Oreochromis niloticus: one gene and its partners. The protein of the gene in region 3 purifies or fractionates together with the protein of the main gene of each other region. This does not show direct contact. Links are inferred from orthologs where the notes say so. Each region holds a gene or a part of one and is shown on either strand. Other genes may lie near its edges. The genes, in order: klhl36, golga5 and slc6a15.

What was found.
Region 1: the proteins of slc6a15 (region 3) and klhl36 purify together in Homo sapiens (co-immunoprecipitation; 3 studies listed by BioGRID and IntAct, counting the BioPlex papers as one, with this or other methods). This does not show direct contact. The link is inferred for Oreochromis niloticus from reciprocal best matches to the Homo sapiens genes SLC6A15 and KLHL36.
Region 2: the proteins of slc6a15 (region 3) and golga5 purify together in Homo sapiens (co-immunoprecipitation; 3 studies listed by BioGRID and IntAct, counting the BioPlex papers as one, with this or other methods). This does not show direct contact. The link is inferred for Oreochromis niloticus from reciprocal best matches to the Homo sapiens genes SLC6A15 and GOLGA5.

What each region holds. Positions count from the first base shown.
Region 1 is NC_031972.2:2,805,719-2,813,709, forward strand, and holds the start of klhl36 (kelch-like protein 36), read right to left. Parts: upstream 3,054-7,991; 5' UTR 2,797-3,053; exon of another isoform or gene 2,727-2,796; intron 2,193-2,726; coding exon 2,115-2,192; intron 1,650-2,114; coding exon 1,455-1,649; exon of another isoform or gene 1,421-1,454; coding exon of another isoform or gene 1,388-1,420; intron 1,253-1,387; coding exon 1,130-1,252; intron 662-1,129; coding exon 440-661; intron 353-439; coding exon 47-352; intron 1-46. Other genes in the region: cotl1 (coactosin-like protein), read left to right, coding at 6,048-6,124, 6,937-7,019.
Region 2 is NC_031983.2:22,101,671-22,109,588, forward strand, and holds the start of golga5 (golgin subfamily A member 5), read right to left. Parts: upstream 3,032-7,918; 5' UTR 2,840-3,031; intron 1,738-2,839; 5' UTR 1,730-1,737; coding exon 1,090-1,729; intron 1-1,089. Other genes in the region: RNA polymerase-associated protein RTF1 homolog, read right to left, coding at 5,880-5,986, 6,116-6,230, 6,595-6,696, 6,957-7,034, 7,728-7,785. UniProt on the Homo sapiens protein: Involved in maintaining Golgi structure. Stimulates the formation of Golgi stacks and ribbons. Involved in intra-Golgi retrograde transport.
Region 3 is NC_031972.2:42,242,942-42,250,597, forward strand, and holds the start of slc6a15 (sodium-dependent neutral amino acid transporter B(0)AT2), read left to right. Parts: upstream 1-4,596; 5' UTR 4,597-4,754; intron 4,755-6,224; 5' UTR 6,225-6,405; coding exon 6,406-6,706; intron 6,707-7,656.

The DNA of each region.
Region 1 (7,991 bases), about 39 Mb from region 3:
GGTTTAACATGATGTTCACGTGAAATCATGAAATCAGCTTCTGTACCTCTCCTCCAATGAGCAGCAGTCTCTCCACTCCCCCCCTCACTGTGGTGCGTCCAGTTTGCAGGAGTGGCTGAACGCTGGTCCTGGCGTGGTACGCCAGCGCCTCCTCCACCAGGGCCTCACAGCCGGCCTCCTCGGGCAGCAGAGCTCGCACGTCCGGAAGCACCCTGCTCATGAGGTCTGCCACCGGGATCAGAGAGAATCGGATGTGGGAGAGGAGCTGCCTGGCGTGGGAGGTCCGCTCGGGCGTCTGGCTGAGCCACTGCAGCGAGGCCTGGAGAAGCGCCTGCTCGCTGTCGTGCTGAACCTGGCGATGAAGAAAGGGGCTCTCAGAATGCTAACCGTGCTTTTGATTTCAGCTCGTCTGCTGAGCCGTGGTGAGAACTCGTCTCACCTGGCCACTGGAGAGGTAGGAGTTGAGTTTGTGGAAAGGAATGTTGCGCAGGAAGTCCGGGGTGAAAGAGAGTGTGGTGAAATGTTTGAGGATGAAGTGGTCGATGAAGGCGCTGAGTCGCTCCAGGCTGTAGAGCAGCGCCAGCTCCTGCAGGTACAGGTAGTTGTCCTCGCTCACCTCCGTCTCCAGGAACTGGCAGCAGAAATCCACCGCTCGCCACACCTGAACAATGCACGAGTTTTTATAGGTAACATTAATTATCACCAACAATTGATTCTTAACAGTTAAACAGGTGATTTTAACAGGTGATTAAACCTCTCGCACTACAAACACAGAAATTCTTAGACATATTATTTTCCTGATAATTTAGTTTAAATGCTCCAAAAGGAGAAGTTCAGTCAAACAGGTCACCCCTCTAACTTTAAGCCTTAACAGTATCTAAACTGATGAGCTATAACAAAAATCACCTACTGTATATTTTTCATGAAGAGAAAACTACTCGTGGAGACCATTTTTTGTACCAGGCTGTAAACTATTTTTAATATGGGAGTTTACTGAGATTGACTCACTTTTAGGGTCAGCCCCAAGTGGCCATCATAGGAACTGCAGTTTTTGGCCCTTTCCCTCATCAGCCCCAGAAGCTGCCGCTTGGCCTGCATGGTTAAACCTAACAGCTCGCTGGTTTCTTACCTGCAGGAGGTGAGCAGCTTCCAGCACATAGTCAATGTTTCCTCCGTCCAGTGGCAGCTCGCCGCTGTACAGGAAGTCCACCACAGCCTTCAGACCCATGAAGGACATCCCGACCAGCTCCACCTGCAGACAGGAAGAACACGTGTGTACTTTATTCCATTTACAACTTCAGTACAACCAAGATAGAAACAAAGGCTCCCACAAATGATCCACATTGTTTTTAATCTGACTTTTTAATATATTATTTTATGTACATACATAAGCTAATTTCCTGAAGCATCCATGAAACATCTGAAAGCTTTTTTTCACAGCGTCGCCTGCATACCTCCTGCTGGTGCTCCTCCTTCATGCCCAAAGTAAACATAGCATTGAAATACGGGCTGGAGACCGCCAGCAGGGCTCGGTGAGCGGGGACGCGCTCGTCTTCAGCCACGAGGACCACGTCGCAGAACTGGCCGTGCTGCCGCTGCTCGTCGAGGCCCTGCAGCAGTTCAGCGGCATGATCCACCCAGCGGAAAACCTGCAAACACAGCACAACATCACCCTGATCACAACTCTTTACTCCAAACGGCTGTGTCGCCGACAAAAAACAGCAAAATCAGCGCCTGCTCCCAGGAGCCTCCTCAGAAACCTTGTTGAAAAGAACCAGGCTGCCTTTCTTCTTCTTTTTGCCTGCTTACTTTTGCACATTCCTCCTTATTCACACCCCAGATAAAGCCAACTGCTGCCAAACTTCAGATGGAAGTTTCTTGGCACTCGCAGTGTTTATACTGTACAAGCAGTAGAGAGAGATCTGCTGAGGTTTCCATCGTCTGATTTTGTCTCTCAGGCTAGAAATGAGCTGACTTCTCAACTTACCAGAGGGATGAAAACAGTCCCCAGATCCTCTGCACTTTGGATAGACAACTGTCTACAACTATTAGTCGATTAACCTGAAGCTACTTTACAGACCATGAAATTAATTTTTAACAATAACAACACTGACCTTAGACGATTCGCTAATCAGCTGGGGTCGACACACTCGGCTCAATTTGTCCATTACATCCCCCCAGGAAGGCATCATCTAAAGCACACACACACACACACACACGTTTTACTGTAATTCTTGCAACTATTAACTAATTAATAAGTTACTCAAATAATGCATCAGATTGATTAACTGATTCAGTTATTTTCAAGGAAAACTGGAAGAAATGTTCTCTTTGGAGTTATAAGCCAAACAAAACAAGAGATCTGAGGATATTCCATTCAGCTTTGACACTGATGTTTGATTTATTGCCCAGTAATAAAGAATTTCGTTCATAAGCGTGTGGGGGTGGCTGCTTTTAGTTTTACTATGTGTCTGGAACACGCTCAATAATCATGTTGGTACAGGACCTGTAACAGTTCATGAGATGAACAAGTCTTTGGTGTTTGATGTGAGAGCTGAACGAGCACGCTGGAGTCTGAGTCTCATTTGAAATAGGAGCTCTGATGCTTTAGATCACAGATATTATGAACTACACTCAGTTGAGGGTTCACGGCCCTTCCTAAACACAGGAAGTGGAGACAAGCTAGAGCCGCGGCTTTCAGGCCTTTAGCGAGATGAGATACATACAGCTGAAAAGCCCAGACGAGAAGCCGTGTCACTGCCTCAGAGCCACTGACAGCAGCGCTTACACGCGGACCTGAGGCGGGTCAGAAGGCGGCTGGCTCCTCTGTTATTCCGTCAGCAGCAGCATCTATGGGTCCCGCAGGACAGCCGAAGAACAAACTGCCGCATTTTATCCAGGAAACAATAAAAATGCTTCAAACGCCGCTCTTCGCCCACCGTCTTCTTACAGAGACTTATTGCCGGTGACACATGCTGTATTGGACCACAAAAACAGCTGGAGCAGGCAGCCAGAGGGACATAGCTTAGCCGCAGGTTAAACATCAACTGAACTTCCGGTTTGACTTTTCAGAATAAACCATTTGGTGGTATTTATTTATTGGTGGTTTGCGGTTACAAGCTATGAGCTTACAGATAAATAGAAAATATATATTTATGAATATTTGCTAATTTTTGTTGGAAGGAAAATATGTACTTATTTTGTGTATTCAAAAACCAGAGGTCTCTGAGAAGCTGAAGAGATCTTGAAATCTTTGGAAACTTTTGGACCTGCATCAAATGATGATGATGATAATAATAATAATAACAATGATAATAATAATAATAATAATAATAATAGCAGTAGTAGTAGTAGTAGTTAGTTCGATTTACCAGACAAGACTAAAAGCCATACTCAATGTTCAAAATTTTGTTTTATTTTGAAGTCAACGACTTTCGGCCGGATGTTGTTATTTACATCAACACTTTATGAAGCCCATTGAGTGACAACGCCAAACGGTACTGTGCAAAAGTCTGGCGCCACCCGTCTTTTCTCTACGTTATACGAGCATATCGGGAAATAGAAAGAAAGGAAACACGTTCCTAAAGATCCCCTTTCAAAAATATTACAAGTATAGCTCCTTTGAAACAAAAGGAGGTGGTTCAAGACTTTTGCGCGGTACTGTAGATAAACAGCTGCTAAATGAATGAATGAATGAATATATTAAAGAGATAAACGGAAGCCTATCGGGTGGCAGGACTGTCACAATGACACCGTTTTATGACACAGTTAACCTCGATTAATAATCTGAAAGAAAACAATATTAGTTAAACAATGTGGGCATGAATGTCTGAGTGCAGCACACTGGTGACCTGTCCAGGGTTTACCCTGCCTCCTAAATTTATCAAATAAAGTTTGTCCCGTTCATGGAAAATGAGTTGAACAGAGAAAGGAAGCTATTGATAAAAGACATGATAAGATCATTTATTTTTATTCATTTATTTTTATGCATAATATATTTATTCTGAATATGTTTGGTACACAGTTAAAACATGGAGCAATTTTTCCTGTTGTGATGATCTTTTACATCATAGAGTTGACTGCACATCAGCTAACTGGAGACCAGGTAGGATCAGGGTGCCATATGGGAGGAACATGAACAGGTGGATGAAGTGCGATGCTGTGGGGAATGTTCGGCTCAGAAAGTTGGCTCCTGGCTTCTGTGTGGCGATTACTGTGATGCAGTAACTCCCATCATGGCAGCAGTGTTCCTTGTGCAATAATGTTTCTAGATGCAAACTCTATCTTCCTACACAGCAAAATCTCCAGTGTTAAATTAACACTACAGAGTGTCTATATGTGTCCACACTGTTGAGTGTTAAATGAACACTTTTGACAGTGTTGTATTTTTAAAAGTAACCTAGTCAGTTTTCAAGATTTACAATGAATAAAACTGAGCAGTGCTGATTTTTCTGAACACTGGAAAATAACTCAAAATGTTAGAAATATTCTGCAGCCTGCATGTAACAGCAAGTGCAGACTGTGAGACAGACAGATGGAGATGAAGCTGGAGAGACAGAAGACATAACCAACCCCCCTCCTGCAGTCTAACATTGGACCGTGTGGTTATTGCTGACCGCTGAGTCTAAGTTTGCAGGAAAGATTGATGAAAGCTTGTGACCGACTGCAGGTCGACCAGCAGGTGGCAGGATGATGCAGGCACAAACAAACCAGGAGGTACACAGCTCAGTTGGGCTTATGCCAGTGTCAAAGAGTAGATACTGGCAAGAGGACGGAGATGACCTTTGACCTCTAGCTAGCCTTCTATTTGATCAGTGGATTTAATGTTTTAAGCCCAGCTCCTAGGTTCACGGTGTAAGTTATGTGAGTGTAATGACCAGTGGCTTTGTGTCAGACTAGTACCTGTTCCTCAAATTAATTCATCTGCACTCTGCTGTGTAAAGTTGCGGTGGTAGATAAGAGAAAGACCGGAAGTTGATCGTTTTAACTTAAGAATAAAAGTATCTATTTAAAATAAAAATGAGCAAATGCCAAACAAAAGCAAAACAGTTGCTCTCATTTTCATGTTATTGTATACAGCTTCCATTTTTACACCTTTTCCTTTGTGAAAGTTATTTTTATTCTACTGAATCATTTTTGATACACTGCTACTTTTTTCATGTTTCTTCAGCACTTTGGTTGTCAGTGTTGATAAACAGAGCCAATAAAAATAATCATTCACTGTAAGAGCAATTAAATAAGAAATGTCAATCTGGAATCAAATCCCTAAAAGATATATAATGTGTAATATTAGAATGAGAGAAAGAGAATTAATATTTATTTATTCCCTCACTTTAACAGGAAGAAATCTTCAGCACAACCAGGCTCACACACGCAGAACCAGGATTACTGCCCACGTGATCCTGAAATATACAGAATTATAGAAACAGAAAGTTTCTGTTAATTCAAAGAAAATCTCTTGTGGAACTATGTCCACAAAAAAGGACGTTTTACCTATAGTGATTACTAATAGAAATCTATAATAATATTATTATTTATAATAATAACATTTCATGGTAATACAAAATGTGAAATGGCTAAATTTGGTTTCAAGTCACTTTTGAGAACTTGCTGCCTTTGATTTTATTTAGAAAATCTCTTCCGGAAATTGTCGCTGCCTGTCGCGGTTGCCTTGACAGCGCTTCTTTTGCTAAACGCTCATTGACCAGGAGGAGGTGAACACAGCGTCTGGGGGAGCTTCTCTGTCTGTCTGCTGGCAACCTGATTGACTAACATCACCCACGCCCATAAAGTGGTAACATACAGGAAATGAACCGAGCTGCTAGAAGAACAGCCGTCTTTTCCCGCTGAATCTGACCGGTTCGATCGTTCCAGTGCAGTGGTCGTGATTTCCGACTGAAGCCCGCTTGTCACGCTATCGGTTCTAGGTCTCTGATGTGTAGCATCCACTGTGCAAGTTAGCCGCTTTAGTACCGTGTAGCTGGCCCTCCCTGGTTCAGACCCATTCAACGCTTATTTTGCCTGCCTGACACTTCTCCATCCGAAAAATGGCAACCCAGATCGATAAAGAGGCTTGCAGAGAGGCTTACAACCAAGTGAGGGACGATAACACTGACATCAATTGGTGAGTGTGCGAGCACGGTTACTAACCCATACTCCATTGAAGATTGTGACGGTTTTATATTAACGCTAAAATTACCGAAAATGAATGACACACGCACATAACCCTGCACCTGTCTGGTGGTATTCTAGCCGCCATCTACTTCGGCGACCAATAAAACACCAAACAGAGTATATATTTGATGTGGTGTTAGTTAAAAATGTATTTCACTCTGTCTGTTACCGCCCACTGTTCCGTCTTTTCAATGAGGAAGAGCGCAACATGAAGAGACGGACTTGCTTTTGAAAAAGTTCACATTGTGTTTAAATAAGCGTCGTTTGAATAAGCGGATACATGCCGAATAGAAAACTAACTAAAAAATGCTAATAAAATGTCGTCAGCTGTATGATTGGTGGCGTTTACTTCTGCACTTCTGCACCAGAACTTTAAATTGCTCTGTGATCCTATGCAGTTACGCCTGCTCATTGCGAAAATGCGCTAGAACAGCACATTGCGGACTGTTTCTTGTAGAAAAACTGGCCAAAATACACGCAGCGTTCGCTGTCCTGTCCCTCGGATGTGGCTGATCTGTATTCTGACTGTTCAGCGGTCACACAGCGCACTGTTATCAGGCCCGGCGGGGCATAAGTAATTTCCTTTGTCCTGTATTCAACGGGGAAAATGTTATAGTGGTGACACTTGCAGATGGCTGATACACAGCTGCCACCTTCCATGGGCGTCTCAGGCATTTTTCTGCAATGGTTGTCGTTGTTGTGTGTGTGCATTATGCGAACTCATGTGATCCTGCAGTAATTGGCCCACTGTGCTCCTTCCAGGGCTGTGTTTAAATATGAGAACAACATCATCGTGCCTGGAGGACAAGGGACCGACTATGAGGACTTCAAGAGTATGTGCACAGGTAAGACTGAATCAGTTTTAAACGCAGGGCTGTAGCTGTGTAGCTGGCTGCTGTAGATTTTGTAAAACAGCCTATATATCAGGCAGCTTGACTTGGCGGGACACTAATCTTTTAAGACTCTGTGCTCCATCACCCAATGAGCCTTGAGCCTGTGACTAGGCTGTCAGAGCACTTAGCTGTGTGTTCACTGCATTGCATAATCTTTTTCACAATATCTCAAGTTTTTTTACTACAGGGTGGCCTACATTTGACTATTGGTGCAAACTACAGTGGAAATATGTGAACTTTTAGCTTTACTCCTTCAACGATCTGACATTCATTAATATTTCACCTGCCTCTAACAAGAGAGCCTCCAAGCTTCTCCCAAAGCACAAACTCCCATAAGCTGCTGTAGTGTAATGACTTGCAGTGTGCAAACCTTTTATGTATAGATTTCAAAAAAACCTATCTCACTCCGGTGAAGTTCCCCTTTAGAGAGAGTGAAGCATCTGCTCAGATGATGGGTGTGGCAACTGCTAATGCAAGCTCTTTTTGTCTTTAAAGCCTCAGGGCCTCCTGTGTCTCTCTGCTTCCTGATGTCTAGAGCTCACATTCCTATGTTGAAATCACTCCTTTACAACAGTGCTTTACATGTAACCGCTCAGCTGCTGCGTTCGCTATTGGTTCCTGTTCAGTGATGACACACGCATCTCCCTCTGTGGGCTCGTTTGCCTTATTTAGCAGTGAAGTTGTAACCTGCAGAAAAAAAACCCCTCTGCGTATGCGTGTGTGTGCGTGTGCGTGTGTGTGCGTGCGTGTGTGTGTGTGGGAGGAGCTGCCGCAGACTTGAGTTTAGTGAGTTTAGATCAACTCTTGTAGAATATTGATCTTAAACTTATACTGCAGCAGGAAGTGAAAAAAGAAGATACTGCATGCTGGGGTATTGTTTCGCCAAGATCTGGTTCCTCATTTCTTTTGTAGTTTAAGACTTTT
Region 2 (7,918 bases), on a different chromosome or scaffold from region 3:
GAGAGATCAGCATTTACAGGTATAAGTGTGGTAGCTCTTATATTATACTGCTAAACAGCAACAAACTGGTATAATAAAGCATTAATATAAAATTATCTTATTTCATACCATTGTACTTTAAGGTTCCCTGTCAAGTTTTGGACACTAAGTGGGTTAATTCTTTATTGGGAGGTGGTAAATTTAACATTTTAAAAGGGAGCCCCACAAGGTTCAGTATTAGGTCCCATGTGGTTCATATTAACAATCTTGCACCCTCTCTCTATAAGAAAATATACCATCCATCTTTATTCACATGCTACAGTTCTGTACTGTATTAATAATAATATTCTTTACTCAGCCACTGAAATCCAACAGCAAGTCTTTCTAAATTGAAAGAACGACGTAACCTAAAATTTGCTTTGAAAGCAAGTAAGTTCTCAAGAGCTTATGAGAAATTGTGGAGACGATCTGTATGTACACCTCTGACTCAATTCTTAAACCCTCTTAATTCATTTCAGCTCTTCAACCAAAGATTTACTAATAAAAACATTGATTCTTGTTTTTACTGGGTTTCATATAAAAAAGCTGAGTTATGACTGTGGCAGAGTAGTCACTGGTTTTCATTCACTTTCTTTATAGACCTTTATTTTCTTGTAAAATAATTTTACCCCTTCAAGCAATTGACTATTTCAATATGTAATTACAAACCAGAATGTTCTTGAAGATAACTGTTATCTTACCAAGTGACCAATTATTAGTTCCTTTTCATGTGTTTATTCACTCCATTTTCACTGTACTCTCTAAATATTTGCAAATTAGTGCATCCTATCACCGATTTATTTAAACAAAGGCTGCTTTCATGTGCATGCTCAGGATTCAGCATGCACATAACCGCACATAATTTTTCTCTCATAGTCATGAGAGCCTTTCAGTAGAAGTAATGTGACAAAAATGCATTGATGTGCCAATAAAGGTGAAGAAGAAGCTAAAAAAAAAACCTGTCTTAACTGTAAGCTGAAATTTTCTTCTCCTGTGAATAAGGTTGATTGTTTATAAAATGTTTGAGTGTTGTTAATTAGTCACACAGTGTTCTGCTGGTTTTGCTCATACCTTGGCCTTGCTCTTTAGCAGAGTTCTCCTCTGTTTTGATGCTGTGAGCAGATAATGAGCTCATGCTTGAAGCTCTTGATACACCCCGGGTGGACGGGGGTGTGGAGGGGACTGATGGGGTGGTATAAGAAGTGGTGGAAGCAGGAGATGTTGGGTTTTGGGCCTCTACCACTTTTACAAGCTCCTTTCTTGAATCCCTCCGATTGCTGACTTGAGGCTCAGAGCTATTAAGAAAATCGAAGAGCATGTCATCGTCCACGTTCTGCTCACTCTTTTTGGGTCTCACAAACCCAGATGAAGTCTTGCTAGTGTTGGGAGCGCTGCTACCAGAACCCAAGGGTGTACTGGTCACATTGGCAGACCCAGCCAGCACGGTTGCATTAGATTTCTTGATGTTGCCAGCTGCAGAAGAGATGTAGCTCTGGGCATCATGAGAGGATGCATAGGTATGATGTGTCACAGGTGGGTTGGTCTTGTACCCTGCAGAGTTGTAGTCAGTTTTAGCAGTGGATTCTTCTCCATAGGCTATTGAAAAGGAGGATGATTTTTCCTGGCCTTTGCTCAGGGCAGTAGCAGCTCCCTGGTCCACTTTATTCAGGAAGTCTTCAGCTTTCCCAGCCAAGTCAGTAAACCAAGACATTTTGCAACCTAGCGATAGAGACAAACAGCAACATGTAAAGATTTACTTGACAGATAATATATTTATTTACTTTCCAAGTTCTTGGATTTCTATTTAACAACATAAGGAAGGTCAGTAGGAGAGTAAAGGTCACTATGTCAATGACAGACGCTAAATCTAGACAGGCAGTTTAACTGTAAAATAGCATTTCACCTCCCCTCATCATTATCACCACTGAGATATCATCCAATGAGGCCTTTAGTTTCAAAAGCTCAGGATACACTGGCTAACTGTACCTGTGCATGACAGAGCTACTTCTGGTGTGGCTACTACCAGCCCAGGTAACCACAGCAGATCTTCTGCCTCTTTCTCTAACAGTCTTCTCTGTCACATCACACCACTGTATGCCCTCCTTCACTAGATCTATAATTCTTCTCTGATGTCTTCCTGTAGACTTCAGGAAGAGCAGCGCAAACCCTGCCCTGGGCTGTCAACAAAGGCTCTGTAGAGACGGTTTCTCAGAACCTTTATTGCTGACAACCTCACCTGGTCTGCCAACACAACAGGTGCAGACAAGACAGCTCAGTGGTGCATTTGCTTAATAAGGTTTCTGAAGAAAAACAGTCATGGATGAGAAACTACATTTGGTAACACTAAAATATGCCAGCTGCTTTGCAAAATCGTTATATTTTCTAACGCAGTGGCAATAAATGGATTCTGAGGATGGCCTTGAAACTAGACAGGACTGAGCTTGATGGGAAGCAAAACTGCGAATCGATCCATATTAAATAAACAGGATCGCAGCAACAAATTGTAGACAGTTAAAGTTAGGACTCTTCCAGTTTTGTGAGCAGCCTGTCAAGTTCGACTCAGGACTAAAACTCTCCCTGCGACAAATGCTGCACAGCTAGCATGCTATAACAAAAAACTAAGCAGCGAAATTTAATCAGCTATTATTTTTAACCACACCACGCTTTTTTTTGTTAAACATAAATGAACAAAGGGGGTTATTGGAGATGTTTTAACTCTAACGTTATCGTAAAACGATGTAAACACAGTTGTTCAGGATCAACTCCATCAGTGCTGCGGCTAACAGGCTAGCTGGCTGTTAAAGGAGACATTTAAACGTACCGTTTGACAAGAGGTATCAGTCTCAGGGTGTCTCCAGTCACCTGACTGCCGCCGAGGTTAAACAGATCAGAGTGAAAGAGTAAAACTGCTTGGAAAACAAAGTCAAATATCATCATCTGTCAAGGAGGATGTTGATGATCCTCTCAATACGTGGACCAGGAAGCGCTGCAAATAAGGACCCGACAACAGAGCGCCTTGGGAAAAGCCTGATCGAAAATTAACGGGGTTCCCAAAGCGCAGCACTCACCTCTGTTAAGGACTTTACTGTTTACTTTACTTTTACTGTTAGTAAAAATAAATGTTTATATATATATATACATATATATATATAGATATAGATATATATATGTGTATAAGAAGAAGGAGGCGAAGAAGAAGACCTGAACAACTGGTAAGTTATTTACTTTTTTTTAAAGGAAATTAAACATAGTTTTGTTTTGTTTTTTTAAGTTTAAGTATGATCCTATTTTAATTAATATTCGTATAAACACGTATAAAGTTCTCATCTTTGGATAAAAGCTTGCCGTTTGAAACAAATGAAGCTAAACACTGGGGAAACTAATATAAAGTAAAAGATACATTACAGACTAAGGCCAGAGTACTTTATTTTGTTCCGACAATCAAGATATGATTGTAGTATAGACTTTCAGTTTTAATTTAAGGGGTTTACTAATTGTTTTAGCATTTTTGTACATTGTACCTCATTTTCAGAGGACCAAAAGTATTTAAGATATTAAAACACAATTGCTTGTTTGTTTGTTTGTTTGTTTTAGTCCACTATAGTCAATAACCTTAATTATAGAACCCATGGACGTTATCAAGTAGATTATCTGCTAACCCTTTACTACTGTCACCATCCAGTGCTTGTGACTCTTTCCGTATTCAGTTTTTTATTTATTTATTTTTTTGCTGTATTCTTGGTTGTCTGTGAAGGTTCTCAGTCATCCAGTTCATAGCAGTCTAAGGAGCTTGGAAAGAAAAGCCTCTGGACTTCTTTATGTTTCTTGAAGACATTTCACCTCTCATCTGAGACACTTCTTCAGTTCTAAGAGCAATTGGTGGAGAGTCCCTTTGGGTCATTATCCATTTGCACTATGAAGGACTGTTCAATCAGTTTTGGAGTATGTGACTGAATGTAAGCAGAGTATATAGGCTTGTAGAATGTACATTTCATCCTGCTACTTCTATAAGCAGTTACATCATCAGTAAACACTAGTGACCCGGTTCCACTGACAGCCACACAGGCATATGGTGTAATATTATTTCCATTACATTGGATGATATGGTATGCTTCAGCTATTTCTGTGCTTCTCCATACTTTTCTCCCCCATCATTCAGGTACAAGTTCCTCTTGGTTTCATCTGTTCAAAGATTTTTTTCTCAGGACTGCACACTTCAGGGTTTTCTGGCTAACTCCAATCTGTCCTTCTTATTCCTGAGTGTAATCAATGTTTTGCACCTTGTTGTAAACCTTCTGTAGGCATCTCCTAAATGCAGACTTTGATAATGATATGCCTGCCTCCTTGAGAGTGTTCTCAACTTGGCTAGATGTTGTGAAGTTATTCTTAACCATGGAAGTAATTCTTTCGTCATACCCCTTAGCTGTCTTGTTTTTTGTTTTTGGGGTTTTTTTTTGGGGGGGGGCATTTAGTGTTGCTGAGCTGCCATTCAATGGTGAATAACACTTGTCAGTTAATTGCCTTCTTACTTTTGAGTGGGGCACTAGCATAGAATCGAATGAGATTGTCTTCTTTGAGGGCACAATTCATTTGCTCATGTCTTTGCAGTCGTCTTCAGACACAACTCTCACTAGTTTTGAAATCTCTCTCTTCTTACCTCTGCTGAGCTTGTTCTGTACTGTGAGGTTCTCTTTAAATTTCTTGATGATTACTTCTAACTCCAGTTTCTGAAACTTGGAAACATTGTTCTAACTTTGTATATCCATTTGCCCTCATCTGTAGTCCATACAGAAGACAGACAAAATGACACAGAAGTTATGAAACAGTGCCCCTTTATTTTTTTCCGCACTCACTCAAAAATGCATATTTACATGGCATGCCACATCAAAACAGGAACTGACTATGGACACAATCGATAACACATAGAATCTGCTCTGGGAGTTCAGGGCATGGGAGCTATCCCATGAACAACCAACCGAGGGAAACTAAAAATGAAGCAACACTTAGAATAAGGTCGGCCATACAAAAGAGTTCCTCTTTATTTAGGTTGATTAAAAAGTGACAGATGTCCAGCTGACCTGTACTGAACGTTTTACATTTGTCATGAAGGGCCAACACTGTGGTTAAGTCAGAGATGATGATAGTGTAAACTCTGCAAATAACCACAATGCTGTTGAAATTTAGGATGGAACTGCAAGTGCAGATGTTCATACATACAGAGGGGGAAAATGGACCATTTTAATTTATTACTGATGAGAACAAGCTGGTCAAATCCGAAGATGTCCATAGACTTTAAAATGGCTAAGCAACCTAAATTGTCTAAGACAGGTTCCTTGTTCAAGGTAATAATCCACAAGTGCCATGTTGTCTTTGTCCTCTTGAAGAAAATTTAAAAAAAAAACATTAAAAAATTTAAAAATTAAAAAAAAAAAAAAAGGGGGGGGTCGACTCCAGACATCCAGAAGAGTAGGAGAAGTTAAATACATTTAAAAAAAAAAACCAAAAAAAACAAAAAAAAAAACCACCACACAAACAAACTCAGTATACAAGTTTGTCTGTAAATGCAAAAGGAACAAAAAAAAACAAAAAAAAAAACCCAAACATATCTGGACAAGGTTTTCTTTTTTCTTCTTCCCGAGAAAGATCCTTTGAGAAAAACGTTGTCTCCGTTTAATCAGTATTTCCTTTGTGTTGGATGAACAGTCTATTTTATCATCATTCGAACACACATCCTTCAGGAGTCATTCACATTCTCTCTCTCGCTCACACACACAAACACCCAGTCTCTCACTTTCACTCAGACACACACACAAACTCTCGCTTACACATGCAATGTGGGTTCTCGATGAGGTGCTGCCACATCAAATCAGCCCCCTCCTCTTCTTGTAGTCTTCCAGGTTGAGCGACCTGCGGGGAGCGCCGTCCTTCACTGGCAACGCGTTAGAGCTCACAGACAGAGACTTCGCCTCTGCAGACGAAGAGCAAAATTACACAACTTCACTATATCACTGTGAAACACACTAGCATTCACCTTGTGCTCCAAGTAAGTAGAACATCTAGGCCGTACAGCTTCAACAGTACCAAAAAAGGGTCTCACCTGCATTGGGAACCTGTAGGTCAATCTTTACATCAAAGTCGTGAACTTTAAACAAGTCTTCCGAGAGGTCAGTGGTTGGCTTCGGGACATCTTTGTCTTTCTGGTTTGTTTGACCCTAAAAGAGAGAAAGTTAGATTTCTTCAGGATAAAGAGCTACAATTCAGGTTGGTGCTCATTTCCAGTCTAATCTTATTTTAATTAGATCTCAACGGAAAAAGAAATTATTTTCTGCTAAATTTTTGCCATATTCTAAAATAATAGTTTTGTTTTCATTATTTTAACTATGAAAGCTTATAAATCATGTATTCACCAAAAAAGAACTACAGTGCTGAACTCAGTTTATTCTTTCAAAAAGTTGAGTTTATCTCAAAATATCTTTGGCTCTGTCCATCAGTGTGTGCAAACTTTAACATCAATTTTGGCATCATTTCTACTTATCAGTATCTACATTATGAGCTATCAGGGAGGGTCCTGCTTACCAGTTTGTTCTTCTCTGGACTTGAATTGTCTGGTGTTGAACCAGAGCCATATTTCTGGTTTAGGTGAGCAAGAATAGCTGCGTGGACTGACGGATCTCTGGCCTGCCAAATGAAAAGAATCACAGTGACAGATCAGATCAACAGAAGTAGAAGTAGTGGTAGTTTAGGGGCATTTTCGACTGCTGTTATGCTGTATGCACATAATTAAGCATGTCTTCAGTCTTATTTATAGCAGTTCAGTAATTTAAACTGTCAATTTCATTATTCAGGTATTGTGTTTGTGAAAATGAGGCATGTGTTATTTCAGTGTGTTTAAACAAGTACAAATATCCAATCTGATAAATTTATTATAGAACACTTACATTAGACACCATGGTGGGTTTGCACTGTCTTCGTGTGAAAGGATCCATTTGTTGGTTTTTGGCATTTTGTCCTTCAGCCTGTTGGAAAATAATTAATAATATACAAATAAATAAACTAAATATTAGTATGTAGAAACCTGCACCATGAAGGGATGTATAATCATGAAAGCTGCATTAAAATTCATAGGTATGTTGTTTTTACTACACATGCAATAGGACGTGATGGTTTTAAGCCTCTGCAGGTCATCTTGGACATACAGGTGCTAAGGTTAGTATAAAACTCTTAGGCTGGGAGTTGGCTGAAGTGAACCACAGTGATACTGAACATGGTCACAGTAAAGCAGCACCAGATTAAGAAAACACCTGACATGAGGAAGCACTTTGAGGAAGATTATAAATGTACCATTTTTGATAAAATGCTGCAAAAACAGACTTTATAGAGATGAAACTCTTCTTTTATATTCCCGATGCTTGCATCATTGAAGGTTTTCCTATCCATAGATCTATTCATATGGTGTTATGCTGTCAATATTTTAGCATAAAGTTATGAATTCCTAGTTTCTTCAATCAATTCTATTTAAATAGCAGCACATTTGATTGGTAGCGACTTAGTCTCTTAATGCTTATGGAAGCAGTAAGGGTGTGTTTTTTCCAAAACACAATGGCTTAATTTTTGATAAATAATTACATTATGTAATATATCTTTCTTTTTTAACTCATCTGAGGTTGTGATGGCTGTATATGGTGCTGCTGAAGAAGGTGAACACTTACCACAAGAGCTTTTTCAGATTCAACAATGTTCCAGCTTCTGTTCCTCTGATTAATGTAACTGGGTGACAAAAGAACAGTTTAAGATCATTACAGAGTAATGATAAAGGGGCTACCAACAAAACACAATTTAGCTGTTTTTCTGTAGTTAATAACTTTATTTAAAGAAACCAGTGTTTTAAACTGTGTATTTT
Region 3 (7,656 bases):
GTTTTCTTTTGGGTTTTTTATCTGAACCATGATGCTTCCACTTGCTTCATCATCATACATCATATTATGAAGGAGGAGCCAATGACTAGTTTGGCCAGTAACAAGGTAAATGATCTCACAGTGACTAGTTACTGGTTGTTGGCCTATGTTCAAAACTTCTTAAAGAGGCAATGATCTGAAATACAAGGAAATTCAAGGAGAAATTAGAAGGATCTGCAAAAGATACACAGCTATGTGATTATCATGAGTCGTAAAGTTGATGGCTGCTGGTCATGGCCAGCCTATAGGTAACAAGACCACTAAACTTCCTGTAAACCATCAACGTGTCTTTTAGACCCCATTCCTACATGACTGCTCAAAGAAGTCCTGCCATTAATTAATGCTTCAATCTTAAATATGATCACCCTATCTCTAATAATTGGCTATGTGTCACAGGCATTCCAGCTGGCAGTAGTTAAACCTTTACTTAAAAAGCCATCCCTAGACCCAGTGATCTTAGTTAATTATAAGCCAGTCTCCAACCTTCCTTTCATATCAAAAATCCTTGAAAGAGTAGTTGTCAAACAGCTAACAGGTCATCTGCAGAGGAATGGCTTATTTGAAGAGTTTCAGTCAGGTTTCAGAGCTCATCACAGCACAGAAACAGCTCTAGTGAAGGTTACAAATGATCTTCTTATGGCCTCTGACAGTGGACTCATCTCTGTGCTTGTTCTGCTAGACCTGCAGCATTCGATACTGTCGACTATAATATCCTTTTAGAACGATTAGAGCATACTGTAGGTACTACAGGTACTCCGCTGCAGTGTGATAGATATTGTATTATAGTTATAGATATTGTATCATATCTATCTAATAGACTCCAATTTGTTCATGTAAATGGAGACTCTTCTTCACACACTAAGGTTAATTTTGGAGTTCCACAGGGTTCAGTGTTAGGACAAATTCTGTTTACATTATACATGCTTCCCTTAGGCAGTATCATTAGATTGCATAGCATACATTTTCACTGCTATGCAGGTGACACCAAACTCTATCTATGAAGCCAGATAACACGCACCAATTAATTAAACTGCAGGAATGTCTTAAAGACATAAAGACCTGGATGGCTGCTACTTTCTGCTTCTAAATTCAGATAAAACTGAGGTTATTGTACTCAGCCCTGAAAATCTTAGAAATATGGTATCTAAGCAGATTCCTACTCTGGATGGCATTACCTTGGCCTCCAGTAACACTGTGAGGAATCTTGGAGTCATTTTTGACCAGGATATGTCCTTCAATGCACATATTAAACAAATAGGACCGTGACTGCTTACTTGTTGTTGCTAGGGTATTTAAAAGTAGAATGGGAGGAACAGCCTTCAGTTTTTAGGCTGCTCTTCTGTAGAACCAGCTTCCCGTTTAGATTCAGGAGACAGACACAATCTCTACTTTTAAGATTAGACTTAAAACTTTCATTTTTGCTAAAGCATATAGTTAGGGCTGGATCAGGTGACCCTGAATCCTCCCTTAGTTATGCTGCAATAGGTGTAGGCTGCTGGGGGATTCCCATGATGCATTGAGTGTTTCTTCTTCAGTCACCTTTCTCACTCACTATGTGTTAATAGATCTCTATGCACTGAATCATACTTGTTATTAATCTCTGGCTCTCTTCCACAGCATGTCTTCTATTCTGTCTTCCTTCTCTCACCCCAACCTGTCACGGCAGATGACCGCCCCTCCCTGAGCCTGGTTCTGATGGAGGTTTCTTCTGGTTAAAAGGGAGTTTTTCCTTCCCACTGTCGCCAAAGTGCTTACTCATAGGGGGTCATTTGATTGTTAGGTTTTTCTCTGTATGTATTATTGTGGGGTCTACCTTACAATATGAAGCGCCTCGAGGCGATTGTTGTTGTGATTCGGCACTGTATAAATAACACTGAATTGAATTGAATTGAACTGAATTCAATTTAGAGTTCTTCCTTTTACTCAGCACACAAATCATCATCATCATCTTTGGATCTGTAGACTGAGCAGCCAACTGTTTCCAATCCCTGAAGCTACATTTGCTATTCCATTGAATAGTGTTTATACAGTAATCATCAAGAACCAGTGCAATCCTCTGCTGTTACTGGCTCTTCTTTTCACTTTATGACTTACCTAACTAGAAAAAACTGAATCAGTGACATTATAACACATAATACCACAAATCCACTGCACCCAATCCCCAAGAGGTTAACCCAGAGTTATCAGCTCTGTTAATCAGCCTCAGCTGCTAGTTCTTTGTATTCTGTTTAATTTGTCAAGTGTGTCATCAGTTTCTGTACTGAAGGGACAGCTGCTTTGTACAGAACCAGTAGCAGGGGTCTCAGTTCTTTGAAAGGAGGATGATAGCTTCCGCTGTTGCACTAACCATCAAACCAAGTTCCCCCTTTTATTGTGGAACAAAGTTTATCTTCATGTAAGTATGTACTTTTTTGTGTTTTTTAACAGTGTAAAGACTCAAATCAAAGGTATCATAAGACCTTAACAATTTTGAAAGCTTGCACAAAAACCTATTGTTGGGTCTGTTCCCACAAACCCCGCTAATTCTAGAGACTTATTCATCATGAATGAAAACAAGACAGTCAGCGATCGATCGATTACTTGCGCAAGGGAGGCCTCCTCTATGTCCAGCATGGAAATGACCCCAAATCCAGCCTCCTCTCGCTGCCTTTTATTGAGAGACAGTTCACACAAAACACAGCAAAGCAACGCCCACATGGTTCTAAGGCATTGTATGTATATGTGTGTGAACCTTTATATGTAAGTAGGAATGTGTGTGTGTGTGTGTGTATGTGTGTGAGACCTCCTGCTGACCAAAGGGTCGTAAAAGCAGGAAGCTTACAACACAAGAAACAGATCTTTCAGATAGGATGTATCTACAATAAAACCCTCCCCCAACACAAAGTGGTTAGAGGTGCTCAGGATCAAAGGAATGGCTTTGATAATACTGCTTGAACTAAGACTGTACAAATTTAAGAAACACAATGGCAACATTCAACAATTGGACCTAACACCTATCTTCAAGACATCAATCAAAATAAATACAATCATCCTTTCAGTAGATGTATTTACATAGAAATTATGTTGCATTAGGTGGAATAAAGGCTTATTATCCAAAGCTGCGATTGTATGTCAGATGTCAAACAATATAGTTTAGCTGTTTAACTGGGTATTTTATCTCAATCTCTTATTTCAGTGAGCGGGCAATATCCTGTGCATTTTGTACAGCAAGGATGACAACCTGTATTTGTGTCAGAACTACAGAGATATGTAACTAAGGGGAGTGGTAAGAAGAGATGATAAGACTTGGACGACCAATGAATTGGACGTAATAGATTTGCATGAACATCAAATACACACATATTCTGCTTGGCAAAGGCTGTGACAACTACTGAGTTCTGTGATGATGCACCTGAAATACTGTGGGTGGATTTCACACTGGCCACCAGGGCAAGACAGGACATAAACGTGGGTAGTGTTTCCAAGTGCATGATTTTCTTCTCAGGGAATAGAACAACTTTAAAGAGAAAAAAGAAAGGAAAAAAACTAAGGCAATGGCTAACCTATCATCTCCGAGATAACGCCTGAATTTCAGGTTATGCAAGCTTAAACCTCGTATTTCCTCTTAGTCTCTGTAACTTCTCCTACATTCTGACAAGTTAATAATTGGTCTGAAATATTCTGCAAACAGTCAAAGTGAAAATCTTTAAGACCACATTTCAGAAAATGACATCTTGTGCCACCTCCGTGTAATATGAAAATAAATATGAGTGTCCAGATGACTGCCTTTATACCTGTTTTAGTCGTCATGCTTTTAGGTATGAAACTCAATTCACTTCATGGACGAAATACAGCTTAGTTTGATCTCAAGATTCCAATTTAAATATATATTGAATGGCTGATCCATACTACACCTTGAAATACATTTACTGTAGACCTAACTGGACCCATGACAGCAGGTGTTACTCCCTGTAATATAACATTCATTGATTTCATTCATTCAGATTGCTGAAATAATGGTATTATCTAAATATATCTTAAATAAAAAGCATGATAAAACAATATGTCTGTCTCGTCGCGGATATATGCAAATTTCATCGCACCACCCTGGGAGGTTGAAGTCGAGCGAAACGACGACCTTGAACCACAAACCTCGCTTTCTGCACGTCATGTCCCCTAAATTCAGTCTGTGTTTTTTTAAATAAATTGCAAAAAATTAAAAAAAAATACATATGCGATCCAAATACATATCCAGTCAGAGAAAATCCGCGTTTATAAACAGAGGCACATTGCTTTTTTATCCTTAAGCCAGCCCCTTTTCTACCGGATTAGTAGTAGTGGAGTGTACCAAGTGGCAAACGGGGGGAGGATGAGGGTACAAATATGCTTATTTCAACTAAATAGGGACGGTGTAAGCATGCGTGTCGTGCGGTGTGACATAGATATGTGATATAAACTATATAAAGTTAAATATTAAGTAAATAAAGAGTTGCCTACTGACGGTCACGAGCGAGTTGGAGGCGGAGAAACCCCCCTCCCCACCCAGTCCGTCCCCCTCCTTTCCTTTTTGAGCGGCGCTCGTCTCCGTAAGCCAGACAAGTGAAGCACAGGACACCGAAGCGGAGCGCAACACACCGGCTGAGACACAAATTGGTGATAATGTCTTCCCCGTGCATGTGCTCTCACAATTTCATTCCTTGAGACGAGTCATTTCAGAAGATTGCTATTCCGCGAAGGTGAGTACCATCCTCAGCATCTCCAGCAGGGATAAGCAGGCTGATGGTAAAGGCAAGGCGTGATACAGAGTATGGGTTGGATTGAGGTACCCTGGTGTGGATGACCGGTGAATGATGAAACACTCCTCAGAGATGACATGACGGCTGTGAGCGGGAGGGAGGAAATGAATGAACGAGGACAAACCCCACATAGCACTAGTGAGACCGGTTGGGTTAATAATAAATGTTTTTTTTATTTTTTTAATCTATTGCTTCATCCGCTTTGGTATGTCATGTTAACACAACAGGCCGAGCCATGTGCAAAAAAGATACTACAGAATGAGTCATTCTCCTCCTAGACGCACTCATATGTTTAATATTTGTAATAAGTGCTCCGCTATTAAACGATTAATAATAACCGAGGCGAGGCTTGCGCAGCATCATGGCTCGGTTTTGGACGCCGCGTTGTGTTCACTGCATTATGAAACGATGGCCTTTGCCTCATTCAAACCAGGCTAATCTGGAAGCGCTGAAAGAAATCTATTAATCTCTTAATCCTCTGTGTGGTGAAAGGCGGGAGACACGCAGTGCTTCGTGGTCGCAACGCCCCTCGTCGTGCCGGGGATATTTTTTGCGCCTCTGACAGTTTAAATGAAAATGTTCGAGGATGGATTTGAGCTTGATGTGAAGCCTCCCTGAAAGGATGCTCACATTTAGGAATCAAGGATGCTGCGCACCTTAATCAGCCTTTAGGTTGATGGCACACCCTTGATTCTCTTCCAGTGCTGCCGGTACTAAGCGTCATTAAATGTTAATGCACCGTGATTAAGCTCTTTTATAGAAGAGAAAAGTGTAATTTGGGAAGTTCATATGCTTTTATATTTGAGGGCTTTCCCCATCAGGTAAAAGTAGGGAATGTTTGGGTTTGTATGCAAATCGCTTTGCCTGTTCAATTATTCAGGGGGCTTGAAACGGGATAGCCTCTGTATCTCAGTGTGTCACTGTCCTAGGCAGCGTGCTCAACCAGCCAAATGCTCCAGGCCCAGTTTTTTGTTTTTTTGTTTTTTGTTTTTTTGTCCAGAACAAGCACTGAGAATAAAATCCCATTCACTGATTTTGGTGCCCTTTCCAGTCATGTGAAATCCATGTGAGTGTTGCATCAGCATCCCTCAGATGGAGAAGTAATTCTCCCTACGGTGTAAATTCAAGTAAGATGCTGAGGGATAAGGAGTAAGGTTAAAAAAGTAGTTTATTTCTTGTGAAATATATACATGGAGTCAGACTGAAATCAAATCACCCAAAGGTAAACCAAATAAAGGTTTACCTTTGGGTTTAGTTAGTTTAATAAGTTCATTTCTTGTCATCTCTTGTCAAAGTTATTTTAGTATTTTAGGAAGGAAATAAGTACCTGAAACTATGTAAAAAATAAACACAGGTTTTCACTTTCATTGGCTGTTTACCCTTTGCTGTGTTTCTATCTCTCCCTCGCAGATATATGGTGATAATGAGGAAATAAACCTCTACAAACTTTGTAAAAGCCCGCTGGCCATTGAACCCAGAATACTTTCAAACTTGTGCCATTGCGCAGAGTTCTTTTCACACGCCGGCTCTGTCCCACCAGCCCGCCAGCCAAGAAGACGTTCCACACTTTCGCCCTTGTTTGCTTTATCAAATGCCCAAAAACAGCAAGGCCGTCAAGAGAGAGCTTGACGACGATGTCACAGAGTCTGTCAGAGACCTGCTTTCCAACGAGGACGCCTGTGATGATTCCTTCAAGAAGAGCTCGCTGATCGTCAACAACCATGAAGGCGAAGGGAAAGAGTGCGATGTGGAGGAAGGGGGGTCAGATGCCGAGGAGGAGGAACGACCGGCCTGGAACAGCAAGCTCCAGTACATCCTGGCCCAGGTTGGCTTCTCTGTAGGCCTGGGCAACGTCTGGAGATTCCCCTACCTGTGTCAGAAGAATGGAGGGGGTGAGTCTCAGCTAGCATCACACACACACACAGTAAGGGCGTATAACTGATGGGTAGCATCATGTTAAACATGATAACAAAAGGAACAAAGACCAAGACACAAGGGGACAAAAGGAGTTCCGTGTTAATTAAAAGCGATCGTAGATTCAGGATGTGATATTCTTGGGTGGAAGCCAAGTCTAGCATCTACATGTGCAAGTTTTTACAGAGGACAAAAAATGGCTAACGAAGACGTGTTTGATTTGATTGTTTTTTTATTCGTTTTTTTTTTTGTTTGTTTGTTTGTTCATCCTTACTGAGAAACCAGAAGTATCACCTTCCACTTTTAGCTTTTGTTTCTTTGCAGACACTCTGAATGGGCTTTAAATGGCGTCATGACTTCATGAAATTACCGTTTTATAGTGAAGGTGTTGTACTCTGTGTTTACCATGTGGGTGCAGGGTCACACATCAACATCTCTTCAGCATTAACGCGTTTGCTGACAGAAGGTGAAAGTTGATACCGCAGAACTCCTAAAATAGGCACCTTTGTTGAATGAATGTGGACAGTGTTCCCAGAATCATCAGCTCCGATCAGAACGTTGAAATTAACATCAGAACATTAAAACCTCTTCTCACGAGTAGTCTCAAAATGATGTGTCATCCATCAAAACTAGACTAGGCTGCGAGCTTCACCACAGACAGAATGTTAATATGACTGCCTTGTTACGTCTGTGATTTCATACACACAACCAAACACAGAACCTCTAACGCTGCTTTCAACATACAGGAAATAATTCTAAGAAGAGTGTGATGCTTCTGATTATAGTTTATGATAACCTCATTTCCTACAATGCGGTCTGCTCTACGTGATTGACTCCTTGCAGACCATTGTTGTGTTTCTAGTCTAACGTGTGTGTGTGTGTGTGTCCTGATAAGGTGTTGCATGGAGATTATGTAAAGCTACTGAGT